3 linked regions of the Oryctolagus cuniculus genome follow. The protein of the gene in region 1 purifies or fractionates together with the protein of each later gene. This does not show direct contact. Links are inferred from orthologs where the notes say so. Each region holds a gene or a part of one and is shown on either strand. Other genes may lie near its edges.

Evidence for each region.
Region 2: the proteins of NUP153 (region 1) and TNPO1 purify together in Homo sapiens (co-immunoprecipitation; 3 studies listed by BioGRID and IntAct, with this or other methods). This does not show direct contact. The link is inferred for Oryctolagus cuniculus from reciprocal best matches to the Homo sapiens genes NUP153 and TNPO1.
Region 3: the proteins of NUP153 (region 1) and NUP50 purify together in Homo sapiens (affinity purification with mass spectrometry; 8 studies listed by BioGRID and IntAct, counting the BioPlex papers as one, with this or other methods). This does not show direct contact. The link is inferred for Oryctolagus cuniculus from reciprocal best matches to the Homo sapiens genes NUP153 and NUP50.

What each region holds. Positions count from the first base shown.
Region 1 is NC_091436.1:144,923,835-144,928,099, forward strand, and holds the start of NUP153 (nuclear pore complex protein Nup153), read right to left. Parts: upstream 2,853-4,265; 5' UTR 2,831-2,852; coding exon 2,720-2,830; intron 1-2,719. UniProt on the Homo sapiens protein: Component of the nuclear pore complex (NPC), a complex required for the trafficking across the nuclear envelope. Functions as a scaffolding element in the nuclear phase of the NPC essential for normal nucleocytoplasmic transport of proteins and mRNAs.
Region 2 is NC_091445.1:38,084,100-38,087,746, forward strand, and holds part of TNPO1 (transportin-1), read right to left. Parts: intron 2,519-3,647; coding exon 2,347-2,518; intron 655-2,346; coding exon 568-654; intron 1-567. UniProt on the Homo sapiens protein: Functions in nuclear protein import as nuclear transport receptor. Serves as receptor for nuclear localization signals (NLS) in cargo substrates.
Region 3 is NC_091442.1:119,931,573-119,934,771, forward strand, and holds the end of NUP50 (nuclear pore complex protein Nup50), read left to right. Parts: coding exon 1-42; intron 43-1,460; coding exon 1,461-1,579; intron 1,580-2,264; coding exon 2,265-2,467; 3' UTR 2,468-2,679; downstream 2,680-3,199. UniProt on the Homo sapiens protein: Component of the nuclear pore complex that has a direct role in nuclear protein import. Actively displaces NLSs from importin-alpha, and facilitates disassembly of the importin-alpha:beta-cargo complex and importin recycling.

The sequences.
Region 1 (4,265 bases):
CAAGAATAATTTACAACAGCAGAGCCTACAAATTTAGTATCTATCCAGACACTTTACAGAAAAAAGTTCATCATCAGATTCTGATCTAAGCTATTGATGGGGGGGTCCCCCCTTTTTAAAATAGCTGGCTGTAGGAACTTGTAAAATAAAAACTGTATCTAGGATGATTCAACATGGATTCCCTTAACTCCAAACCAGAAGACATATCTCTGAAGCACACCCTCCAAAAAAGGGCAAAAATACCCAATTTCCTCTGACCAGGAGGTGGCAGTAGGTTCTTCCAAAGGCAAGGTTCTAGTTTGACCATGGGCTTAAAGTTTTATGCGGCAGCTATTAAGGAAAGTTTGATCTCTCCCCAGAGTGGTCTGAGCCTGACAATCTGCACTCACCCATACACACACAAATCCAAAAGGAGAACGAACAGAACTAACCCCATTCTCCCAACTAGAAAAAAATGACACCATTTCCTAAGGGCATGGGGGAGAAGACAAGGGAAAATTATCAACTTGCATTAAACAGTTACTGCCCATTATGTAGTTGAGCAACCTAACAGATTTGTCTCCACAACTTGAAGCAAAATGACAATTTAAAGGTCAGACATTAAAGGAAAAAATGTTAAACTTTAGACATTTCACAGCAGAGCTAAATCAGAAGTCAAAACAGGAAATCACAAGTCAAATGAACACATGCAGAAGTCTCAAGTACTGGGTAACTGCACTAGCTAGCTGGTCTCAATGGGCAAACATCCATTAACTGACAGTGCCAGACCTCTCATTCTTATTCCAATCTTATATTACACAACTAAAAGCTTCATTTTTGTCCACAAAACCCTTAGACACTTAATCAAGTAAAATTACTATTAAACATGCCATGTCATAAAGCTCCTTGCTATTCATGATGACTCAGCAACTGCTCCAAAACATGCAGTTGACAGCTTAGAATAGTAGATAGCAGTCAGGTCCAACAAAGTTCCAGCAAGGACTAAAAAAGCACTTTATTTTAAGATTCAAATGCTATTTAATTTTTTTTTAAATACATGGGGCAAGAAAAAGCCAAAAAATATTTTAGATACGGGGGCAATGATAAATTATCAGATTCTCAAAACCACACCGTCTGAAAATCAGTGATAATTTGGGCATGATTTCTCCGAAAATTACTTTAGGTAAATACATCCAAAAATAAGCTTTAAGTGCAATCTTTGACACCTGGACTACATTAGCTTGATTTTAAACTTTGTCCAAATCATCCATAAATCTATGCCAAACACTTCACTTTTCTACAGCTGATAAAACAAGTTCTAAGAAAGCACTCTAGGACATTTATTCTTGGGAGAAACAGAAACCATGTTCTGTCTAACTTCCATTCCACAAAAGCATTTGGTTAGGCTATTTAGCCAGGCTGTGACCTGAATTCTAATCTTAAATCTGCCTACAAATATCCCTGCTCCTCACAAAGAAATGTGAAAAACAAGCACTTTCTGTACGTATCAGGGGAAAATTGGTAGGAGTAACGCCAAGCATTGTAACCACGGGTAGAGAACAACTTAACACATACACCAGTTTCCCTCTAATCTTTACTTTCAAATATCTGATAATGATACAACTTAGCACAACCAAACATACTAAATAGTCCAATTCTTTATTATAACCCAGAATAATGAAGGAAGTCTACCTTTAACATTATGCAACAAGCTATCAGACCCTCCTGATTTCTTTTAAACAAGTTTAACACATCTCCCACCTTAGTGTCATTGAAAAAGTTTATAAGTGGCTTTATTAAAATAGGGTTTTAACGTTCTCCTACTCTGTCCTTCTAACAAGTAGCATTTGAAAAACGGAATTTTTCAGAATCAATGTCTCAATTACAATTAGGATAAACTTATTAACTGTAAACGCTCGAGAATGCACACAGTGGCTAAATCATAAGACCACCAACATTACTGGAGTATCAAAAGTTCCTTAACTTGTAGAATACGCCCCATAATATTAAAATATTTTGTGTATGAGATCAGAGTTGGAATCCCGGTCAACTGTGGAGAATGGCCAACTCCAGCCTCCAAAATAAAGGGGGGGGGGGGTAGCGCAGCAGAGAAAAGACGTAAGGGTGGAGAGGGACTTTCAAAATGTCCCGGTGCCATGATAACTATAAGCCGGTGGGGACCTAAACCAATACCCTCAGACCCTCCGAGAATTCAATAGGCTGAGACTAAGTTATTCCACCTTCCGTTTCACACTGACTACCCTCACCCCCACCCCCGCGTGCCTCGGGGGGCCGATCACTCCGGGCAGCCCCCGCTCTGAAACTCGAGTCACCAGAAATCATAAAGGCCTCTCGCCACGGCTTTTTTCTTTTCTCTCCAGAGGACATAATATCTTCAAACCCCCAATCCCTGCCCTCCCCCATCCCACCCCACCCCAAAAAAATGAAGAAATACGCGCATCCTAAGCCTAGACACTCTTTTCCCGCCCTGCTCCGCCCCGGGAAAGCCCCTGGGCCAGAGGGCCGGGGAGAGGCGGGCAGTAGCACACGTGTGCGCCGCAGGGCTGGGCCCGTCCTAGCCCACTTCCCGTCGCCACCCCAGCGGCCTGGGCTTCCAGGCCTTTACTCAGGCCCTCCCGGCCGCTCCACGTGGGGCGCCAGGGCCTCACACTCCCCGGTCGCTCCCGCCGAGTTTCCGACTCCCCCACCCCCAGGCCACGGCGGCGTCGGGGTCCCGTACCTGGTGCTGTTGTCGCCCCTGCTGGTAAGGCTTCACTGGCCCCTGGTGGCAGCGCCGCGTCCTGATCTTGCCGCCACCGCCCCCTCCCATTCCTCCTGCCCCCGAGGCCATGGCGGAGCCTCGGCTGCTTCCCGCTCTGGGGCGGGGAAGGGGGCGGGAGAGGCAGAGGCGACCGCCTTAGAGCCCCCCCCGCCCGGCCCCGGCCCAAAAGTCAGTCTGCGCTGCCCACACAGCGGGGCGCAGGCACACCGGGAACCGCGAGGCTGCGAGCCGGAGCGAAAAGAGCGTGCGCGCAGGCCGACTGCAGAGGCCGAGGAGCTGGCTCCCGTCCGGCAGCCTCCCGCGGACTCCCGCCTCTGTGTATGTCACAGTCTCTATGGAGATCCGCCGCGGAGAATGCCGCGAGCGGCGGCGGACGTCGCCGAGGCCTAACTCGAGCGCCGGCTGCTGGAGGTTCTTCTTCCGTCGCCCTGGCCGTCGCTGCCGCAGTTGAAGCCGCCGGCGCCGCCCGCCTACCCCTCCCCTCTGCGCACAGTGCCCGCCCCGCCGTCGTCGTAGTCGTAGTCCCCGCAGTCGCCGCCGCCGCCGCCGCCGCCGCCGTTGCGCCTATTGCCGCTACTAAGGCCGCTGCCGCGGTCGCGAGCCAGAACGGCGTCATTCGTAAGCGCCCGACGCGTTTGCATCATCACGCTGCGCCCAGGTGATAGGTGAAGAGGAAGGAAGGACCGGTGGAGCCCGCGCGCTCGGCCGCGCGGCCCGCTGGGAAACGTAGTTCAACGAAGAACGGAAAAGGAAGTCGGCGGTTGAGGCAAACCGAAGGAGGGCGAGACCCGAGGCGCGCGGCCGAGCCGTGTTCTTGCTGCTCTTGGCTGTAAATTTAGACTCTGAAGAGGCATGTAACATAAAAATAGTAACCTCCTACCCCGGGCAGAAAGGAAGAAGATAGTAAAATCAAACACAGGAGCTAATGATCTCTAATAAAAATTGGAAAACTGGTTGAGAAAAAGTGGCCATGATTCTTAGGCCTAAAGCAGAATTAGACATTATGTACAGCTTCACTAAGGTTTTGTTAGATATATAAGGGGTTCGTGGTCAAACCCACAGGGCTCTGCCTCTTTGACCTTGGATAACTCAAAACCCAAGCATTGGCTTCCTCTTCTATAAAATGAAAGCTTTAAAGTAGGCCTTACAAGCTGTTGTGAGGAGCAGATGCAATCATCTGTGCATATTTCCTGGTATGCAAGAAATGCAGTACGTGATCACAGTTATAAGCTATGGAGTCGACTTGACATTACAGGTTAGGTGATATCCCAGTACTATATAACACATATATACACATGACATATACACATATTATATACATAATATATACGCGTAATAGACATACACATGCTTCAACTAGCAGGCATTATGTTTAAGAAAATAAGTGCACTACTGCTCCCCATGTAGGACCTCTGTCGTTAATGTGTTGTACTATGTAAATTAACAGTAAAACTACTATTCAACAGTACTTTATACTTTGTGTGTCTGTGTGGGTGCAAACTGT
Region 2 (3,647 bases), on another chromosome or scaffold:
CTTTTTTTTCTTTTTTTTTTTTTTTTTTGACAGGCAGAGTGGACAGTGAGAGAGAGAGACAGAGAGAAAGGTCTTCCTTTGCCGTTGGTTCACCCTCCAATGGCCGCCGCGGACAGCGCGATGTGGCCGGCGCACCGCGCTGATCCGATGGCAGGAGCCAGGAGCCAGGTGCTTTTCCTGGTCTCCCATGGGGTGCAGGGCCCAAGCACCTGGGCCATCCTCCACTGCACTCCCGGGCCACAGCAGAGGGCTGGCCTGGAAGAGGGGCAACCGGGACAGAATCCGGCACCCCGACCGGGACTAGAACCCGGTGTGCCGGCGCCGCTAGGCGGAGGATTAGCCTAGTGAGCCGCGGCGCCGGCCCATTTGCTTTTCTTATCTAAGTTTTTCTTAGTATAGAAATCAAAGTTACAACGTTACATACATATTCAGCATTTCAAAAGAAATGGGTTTGAATGTCAATGTATTAATATTACCTATTAGAGTATACACCTATCCTGAATTATAATATCTATTTTTGAGGAACTACAGTGTTAGATTAACTTAAATATTACCAGCCCAGCATACCTCAAGTAAAGGGAAGAGATCTTTATCTTCATCCTTTAACATGTTCCATTTCTGGATCAGAGGAGGCATTAACATCTGAATGTATTCCTATTTACAAGGATAAAAAACATATAAAGCTCCACTATCATAAACATGTCTACTTCGAGTCTATGAAAATTAAAATCCACTTAGAGCAACCCTATAAAATTACAGAAGGGATTCTAAGGTTCATCCTTTGCTTTACATAGTCCTTTTTAAAGTTCTTCCTTTTGCCTATCTTTAATTACAAAACATTGTTCTATTTTTAAGTAATATCCTTTTTGAAACAAAACATATATAAGTAAGTGCACTGTCACATCAAAATGTATCACTTGTTAAATGACAAAGAAGAACCATATATATTTTACTCTCCAGTGACAGAATCTTAGTCCTAAGGTAAAATGTAATATGGCTGTTGCTATTAAAGTGTATTATAAATTGTCAGGAAAAAATTTAGAGTCTTCTGTAGAAAAAGATTCACAATCATTTAAGTGTCTTTATTTAAACTGAAGAATAACTCACAGAACCAAATAACCACAAAAATCATGTAAACAAAGGGAACAGACTCTAAAGATATTCAGAAAACAAAACCCACCCCCCAAAGACCAACCAAAACTACAAGCACTAAAGAAATCAATACAGCAACTGTGCCATCCCAGATTTTTGGTGTAACCGAATCATAATGCAATCACATATTAAATCTTCTATTCTTCAGCAGAGTATTGAGAACTATATACACTCCTAGAGACAAGGTACTTCTGACCATTATTCAACAGTTTTAATCTATTATTCCATTTTCTATTCCTTTAAATAGTGTGCTCCCCATATCTGTATGGCCTGGAGAAAAAAATGTTTAGATGTGGTACTCTAAAGCTACAAGGTTTATGAAGTGAGAGACCCAAAACCCTTTAAATTTAAAAGTTGAAAATTCATCATCTAAAAGCATTACTATCCTTTTTCTTTCATAAAGTACTGGCGCAGGGCAGATATCTGGCCTGGTGAAGATGCAGACTGGGAGGCCCACATCCTATACTGAAGTTCCTGTGACTGAGTTCAGCTTCATTTTTTTTTTTTTTTTTTTTTTGACAGGCAGAGTGGATAGTGAGAGAGAGAGAAAGGTCTTCCTTTTTGCCGTTGGTTCACCTTCCAATGGCTGCTGCGGCCGGCGCGCTGCGACCAGCACATCGCGCTGATCCGAAGCCAGGAGCCTGGTGCTTCCCCTGGTCTCCCATGGGGTGCAGGGCCCAAGCACTTGGGCCATCCTCCACTGCCTTCCCAGGCCATAGCAGAGAGCTGGCCTGGAAGAGGGGCAACTGGGACAGAATCCGGCACCCCGACTGGGACTAGAACCCGGTGTGCCGGCGCTGCAAGGCGGAGGATTAGCCCAGTGAGCCGCGGCGCCGGCCTCCAGGTTCATTTTCTATTCCAACTTCTTGCTAATGCACACTCTGGGAGTTCGGTATCTGTCATCTGGATCAAGTTCCCAGGTCCTGGCTTTGCATTCTATCTCCCAAACAAACCAACAACAAAAAACCAAACCAAACCAAACCAAAAAAAATCAAAAAGGACAGAGAGGAATAAGCATTGGTGCATTCATGAGATGTTGCTGTAGTTTTCACAAGTATGCAGTTATCTTTGAAATCCTACTTGAGAGGGGGATATACGTGTTGCCTTTCCTATCTCCAAAAATGCTTATTTCTTAACATTGATTATAACCATACTCCATCGCTTTTCCATGATAATTGATCAACTGATACTTACTGGTTTGTTTAAATGATGTCCTACCGAATCTGCTAAAGTTCCTATGGCATCATAAAGAATGAGCAGGTTCTTATGCTGGTATTTACTAAATGCGAAGACCAGAGTATCAAGTATGTAAGCAAGGTAAGGAACAAGTTCGGTACAAGCCTCCTCTTCCAGGGTAGCAAAGGCACTGTAAAAAAAAAAAAAAAAAAAAAAAAAGATTAATAAACATGTTATATAAAAGCAATAGTGGTTCACAACAGGAAACTAAATCTCATTTATAGAATATCCATTGAAACTAAACTTTACATACCTGTCTCCTTGCCTCATCACATAAATGCTGATTTTTATTATTTTTTTCTCATTTCTTATCACTTCTTCCTTTCTAAGAGGTTATCACCCACTGGCATCTGCATAGCTACAATGGTAAATTCTAGAACTATAAATGTTGTTAATCCTTTTTCAACAAGTGTATCTGATGTTTAGACACTGAGTGCTAGGACAAAATGAACAAAACAATACCCTCATTTTCAGGAAGCTTACATTCTGGCAACCATTCTAGATGAACAAAGAAAGTCTAGATTAAAATTTAAGCTCTGGCCGGTGCCATGGCTCAATAGGCTAATCCTCCACCTGCAGCGCCAGCACACCAGGTTCTAGTCCCGGTTGGGGCGCCGGATTCTGTCCCGGTTGCCCCTCTTCCAGGCCAGCTCTCTGCTGTGGCCAGGGAGTGCAGTGGAGGATGGCCCAAGTGCTTGGGCCCTGCACCCCATGGGAGACCAGGAGAAGCACCTGGTTCCTGGCTTTGGATCAGCACAGTGCGCCGGCCACAGTGACTATTGGAGGGTGAGCCAACGGTAGAGGAAGACCTTTTTCTCTGTCTCTCTTACTGTCCACTCTGTCCAAAAAAAAAAAAATTTAAGCTCTATACTTTACCCTTCAGGTGCATACCAAGGGTAACAAAATGACAATCATTCTAATGCTCAGTGTTTGAAATGTGGAAGAACACAGCAGTACTGCAGCTTGTCAAGTCTAAGATACACATAGTGCACTGATGCCTAGCAATGCAAACATTACTATAAATTTACAGTATGTGCCATTTCAACTATGAGGACAAATATGTAAGAAAGGAAAAAATTCAGTCTCAGTCTAAGTACTTAAATTAAATTTGAGGCCGGCGCCGTGGCTCACTAGGCTAATCCTCCGCCTTGCGGCACTGGCACACCGGGTTCTAGTCCCGGTCGGGGCACCGGATTCGGTCCCGGTTGCCCCTCTTCCAGGCCAGCTCTCTGCTGTGGCCAGGGAGTGCAGTGGAGGAT
Region 3 (3,199 bases), on another chromosome or scaffold:
AGTTACTGAAGTAAAGGAGGAAGATGCCTTTTACTCCAAAAAGTAAGTGACAACCAGACCACCAGGAGCTCCGGGGGATGTTTGCAGAGACGGGCGGGCCACTGGACCAAAGCATGGGTAGCGGGGTCCCCTCTGTCCCGGGGCCCGCTGTGCGGCAGTTCCTGGCCTGTCATTGACACACACCAGGTCAGAAAGGTGCTGGGCACAGCTGGCCGTTTCCTGCTCGAGGGGGTGTGGTCTTCCCCTCAGCCTCATTTTATCTCATCCTGTCCTCCTCCCCCCACTACCCCCACAAAGAAAATCACCTGTTAGCGGTTTCAAGATTTGGTTTTATAAGACTTATTTTTCACTTTTGAAAGGCAGAGTTAGAGAGAGAGAGACAGGATTCTTAAGCCTGCTGGGTCACTCCCCAATGGCTGCAGCGGCAGGGACTGGGCCAGGCTGAAGCCAGGAGCTGAGAGCCCCATCCGGGTCTCCCACATGGGAGCAGGGGCCCAAGCACTTGAGCCATCCTCTGCTGCGCTGTGGAGAGCTGCTGGTCTCAGAAGAATCCCTGAAAGAAAGTTGAATGACCTCATCTCCACAGAGGAAATCAGCCCAGACCACTGTTGTTGTTTTAATGTATCGGGGCCGACGTTCTGGCGTAGCAGGTGAAGTCGCTGCTTGGCATTGTCAGCATCCATACGGGCGCCAGTTCTAGTCCCGGCTGCTCCACTTCTGATCCAGCTCTCTGCTTGTGGCCTGGGAAAGCACTAGAGGGTGGCCCAAGTCCTTGGGCCCTGCACCCACATGGGAGACCCAGAAGGAGCTCCTGGCTCCAGATCAGCACAGCTCCGACTGTTGCAGCCATCTGGGGAGTGAAGCAACGGAAGGAAGACCTTTCTGTCTCTCACTGTCAAAAAAAAAAAAAAGTTTGATGATAGAGATGACATGAAGGAGTGACTGATTTTTTCTAATTAGCATCAATCAGAGGAGCATCTGGTGTTTTTGTGAATTACACCCCAAGGAAATGCTGTGGGTGCTCGGAGCCACTTGACGGCTCTGGCTCACGGGACCCTGTCAGCATGAGGGGACATCAGCACTGAAGGTGCCTTGGGAATTAGGAAGTTCCACGGAGGGACGACAGTGGGCTGGGGGAGAGGCGCACAGAGCGCCTGTTCCAGCTCACCAGGGCCAGAGCAGCAGCGGGGAGGCGTGCCGCGTCTGGCTGTGCCCGGGCGTGCTGGAGGGAGGATGGTTTTAAGACGTCCTTGCGGGAGCTTTGTGGGCTCCGCTCTGAGAGGATGGGAGAGGCTGTGCAACACCTGGCCAGGGCTTCTCGCTTCGTCCCAGAGCCAGTCATTCTGGAACGTTCCAGCGTGTCCCCAGCGTGTCCCCAGGAGCGCCTGGTGGCCGCTGCAGGACCGTGTGACGTGCTTTGGTGCTGAGTGGCTCCTCACGCCGACGCTCTTTCTCCACAGGTGTAAACTATTTTACAAGAAAGACAATGAGTTTAAGGAGAAGGGTGTGGGCACGCTGCATCTGAAGCCCACAGCCAATCAGAAGACACAGCTGCTGGTGCGGGCCGACACCAACCTAGGTGGGTGTGCGAGGACGGGCCCGGTGCACTCACGGCTGTGTTGAGCGGTCGTCGAGGCCAAGGTCATCCTTGCTGTCTCCAGGACAACTCTCAGTCCCCTTTTGTTAAACGTGAGCTGGCAGAGTAGGTCAGGGGTTTAATGCACACCAAGAGGAGTGAACCATTGACGGGAGTCCTTTTTAAATGGCTAGTGGTCACTGGCACATGGCTGTCCACCCCTCCCTGCCCGGCGTGTGACCCTGGAAACCGTCCCCAGAGAGGAAGTGCTGGGGGCGGCGCCGCAGGCTGGAGGTGAAGTCAGCAGGGTAGCGGACTCCTCCGTGTGCCCGAAGACACCCGGGGGAGGGCGCATTCTTAGCTCCCGTGCGCTTGGCCTGTGGGCAGTGGCACCCGGTGATCTCCCTGCGGCCTTGTGAGCCGTGCTGGGCCCCAGGACGGAGGTGCCGGCCCGCGACCCTGTGCTCTGCCGCAGGCGCGCAGTGAGGGAGGGGTCGCAGGAGGCCGCTCCCCCAGGGCTCTGGCCGCCGCAGCCGCCATCTGTGCCCTGGAAGCCCAGGGCCTGGTGTGGAGACTCCGGAGGCTCCGCGCCTAGGTGTGCCGAGGTGGCAGCAGGAGCCGGGTGGCCCGCTGAGGACCTGCTCCCGCTGTGCCGGTGCCGTTTTGATGCGCGTTGTCGTCTCTGCAGGCAACATACTGCTGAATGTGCTGGTTCCACCCAACATGCCCTGCAGCCGGACCGGGAAAAACAACGTGCTGATCGTCTGCATCCCCAACCCGCCCCTGGACGCGAAGAGCGCCAGCACGCCGGCCACCATGCTGATCCGGGTGAAGACGAGCGAGGACGCCGACGAACTGCACCGGCTTCTGCTGGAGAAGAAGGACGCCTGAGCCCGGCCGCCCCGCCCCCGGCGCCGCCTGCTCCGCTCCTCACAGTAGCCATCACTTCAGACCGCGTGAGAGGATTGATAAGCCAATAAACCTTGGAACGTTCAGTGTCAAACCGTGTTCTCCCCCCGAGAACCACTGCGTAAAGCCCGCTTGAGTGACGTTTTGGGGAAGATTTTTAAATGTTCGTCTGTTATTAAACTATCCATAAGTGATTTCTTACGGACTGGAATCAGGGTATCGATGCGCTCCCGAGAGCTTTTCCCGGTGGGCGCTCGGCAGGGCCGGCCGCTTCCCGAGGGAGCCGTGCCGTGCCGTGCGCGGGCGGGCCCTGTGCCTGGTCAGCTGTCGTTCAGCCAGAACACGGGTGCCCACGCCCGCCTCCAGCAGGAGCGTCACCACCTAGGGTTGGTTCGCAGGCGCTGGCCGTGGGCCTCGGGAACCGCTCGTTCTTCTGGTGCGGACGGAGTGGCTGTGGACGGTGGCTGTGTGGTTTCACTTTGCGAGGTGCTGGACTTCATCCTGCAGACCACGAGGGTGGAGGGGGTTGCCAGGAAAGGTTTTAAGAGCACAGCTTTGGTGGCTTGCTGCTTTCTGGACTGGACAGTAAGCCCCGGAGAAGAAGTGGGGACATCGGCGGGGACGCGGACAGGCGGTGGCCGCAGGGCTGGGGCAGCTCCGGGGCCGGCAGGGTGGCTGCCCTGGGGGCGGGGCGGAGGGGCCGCGGGCTGTGCG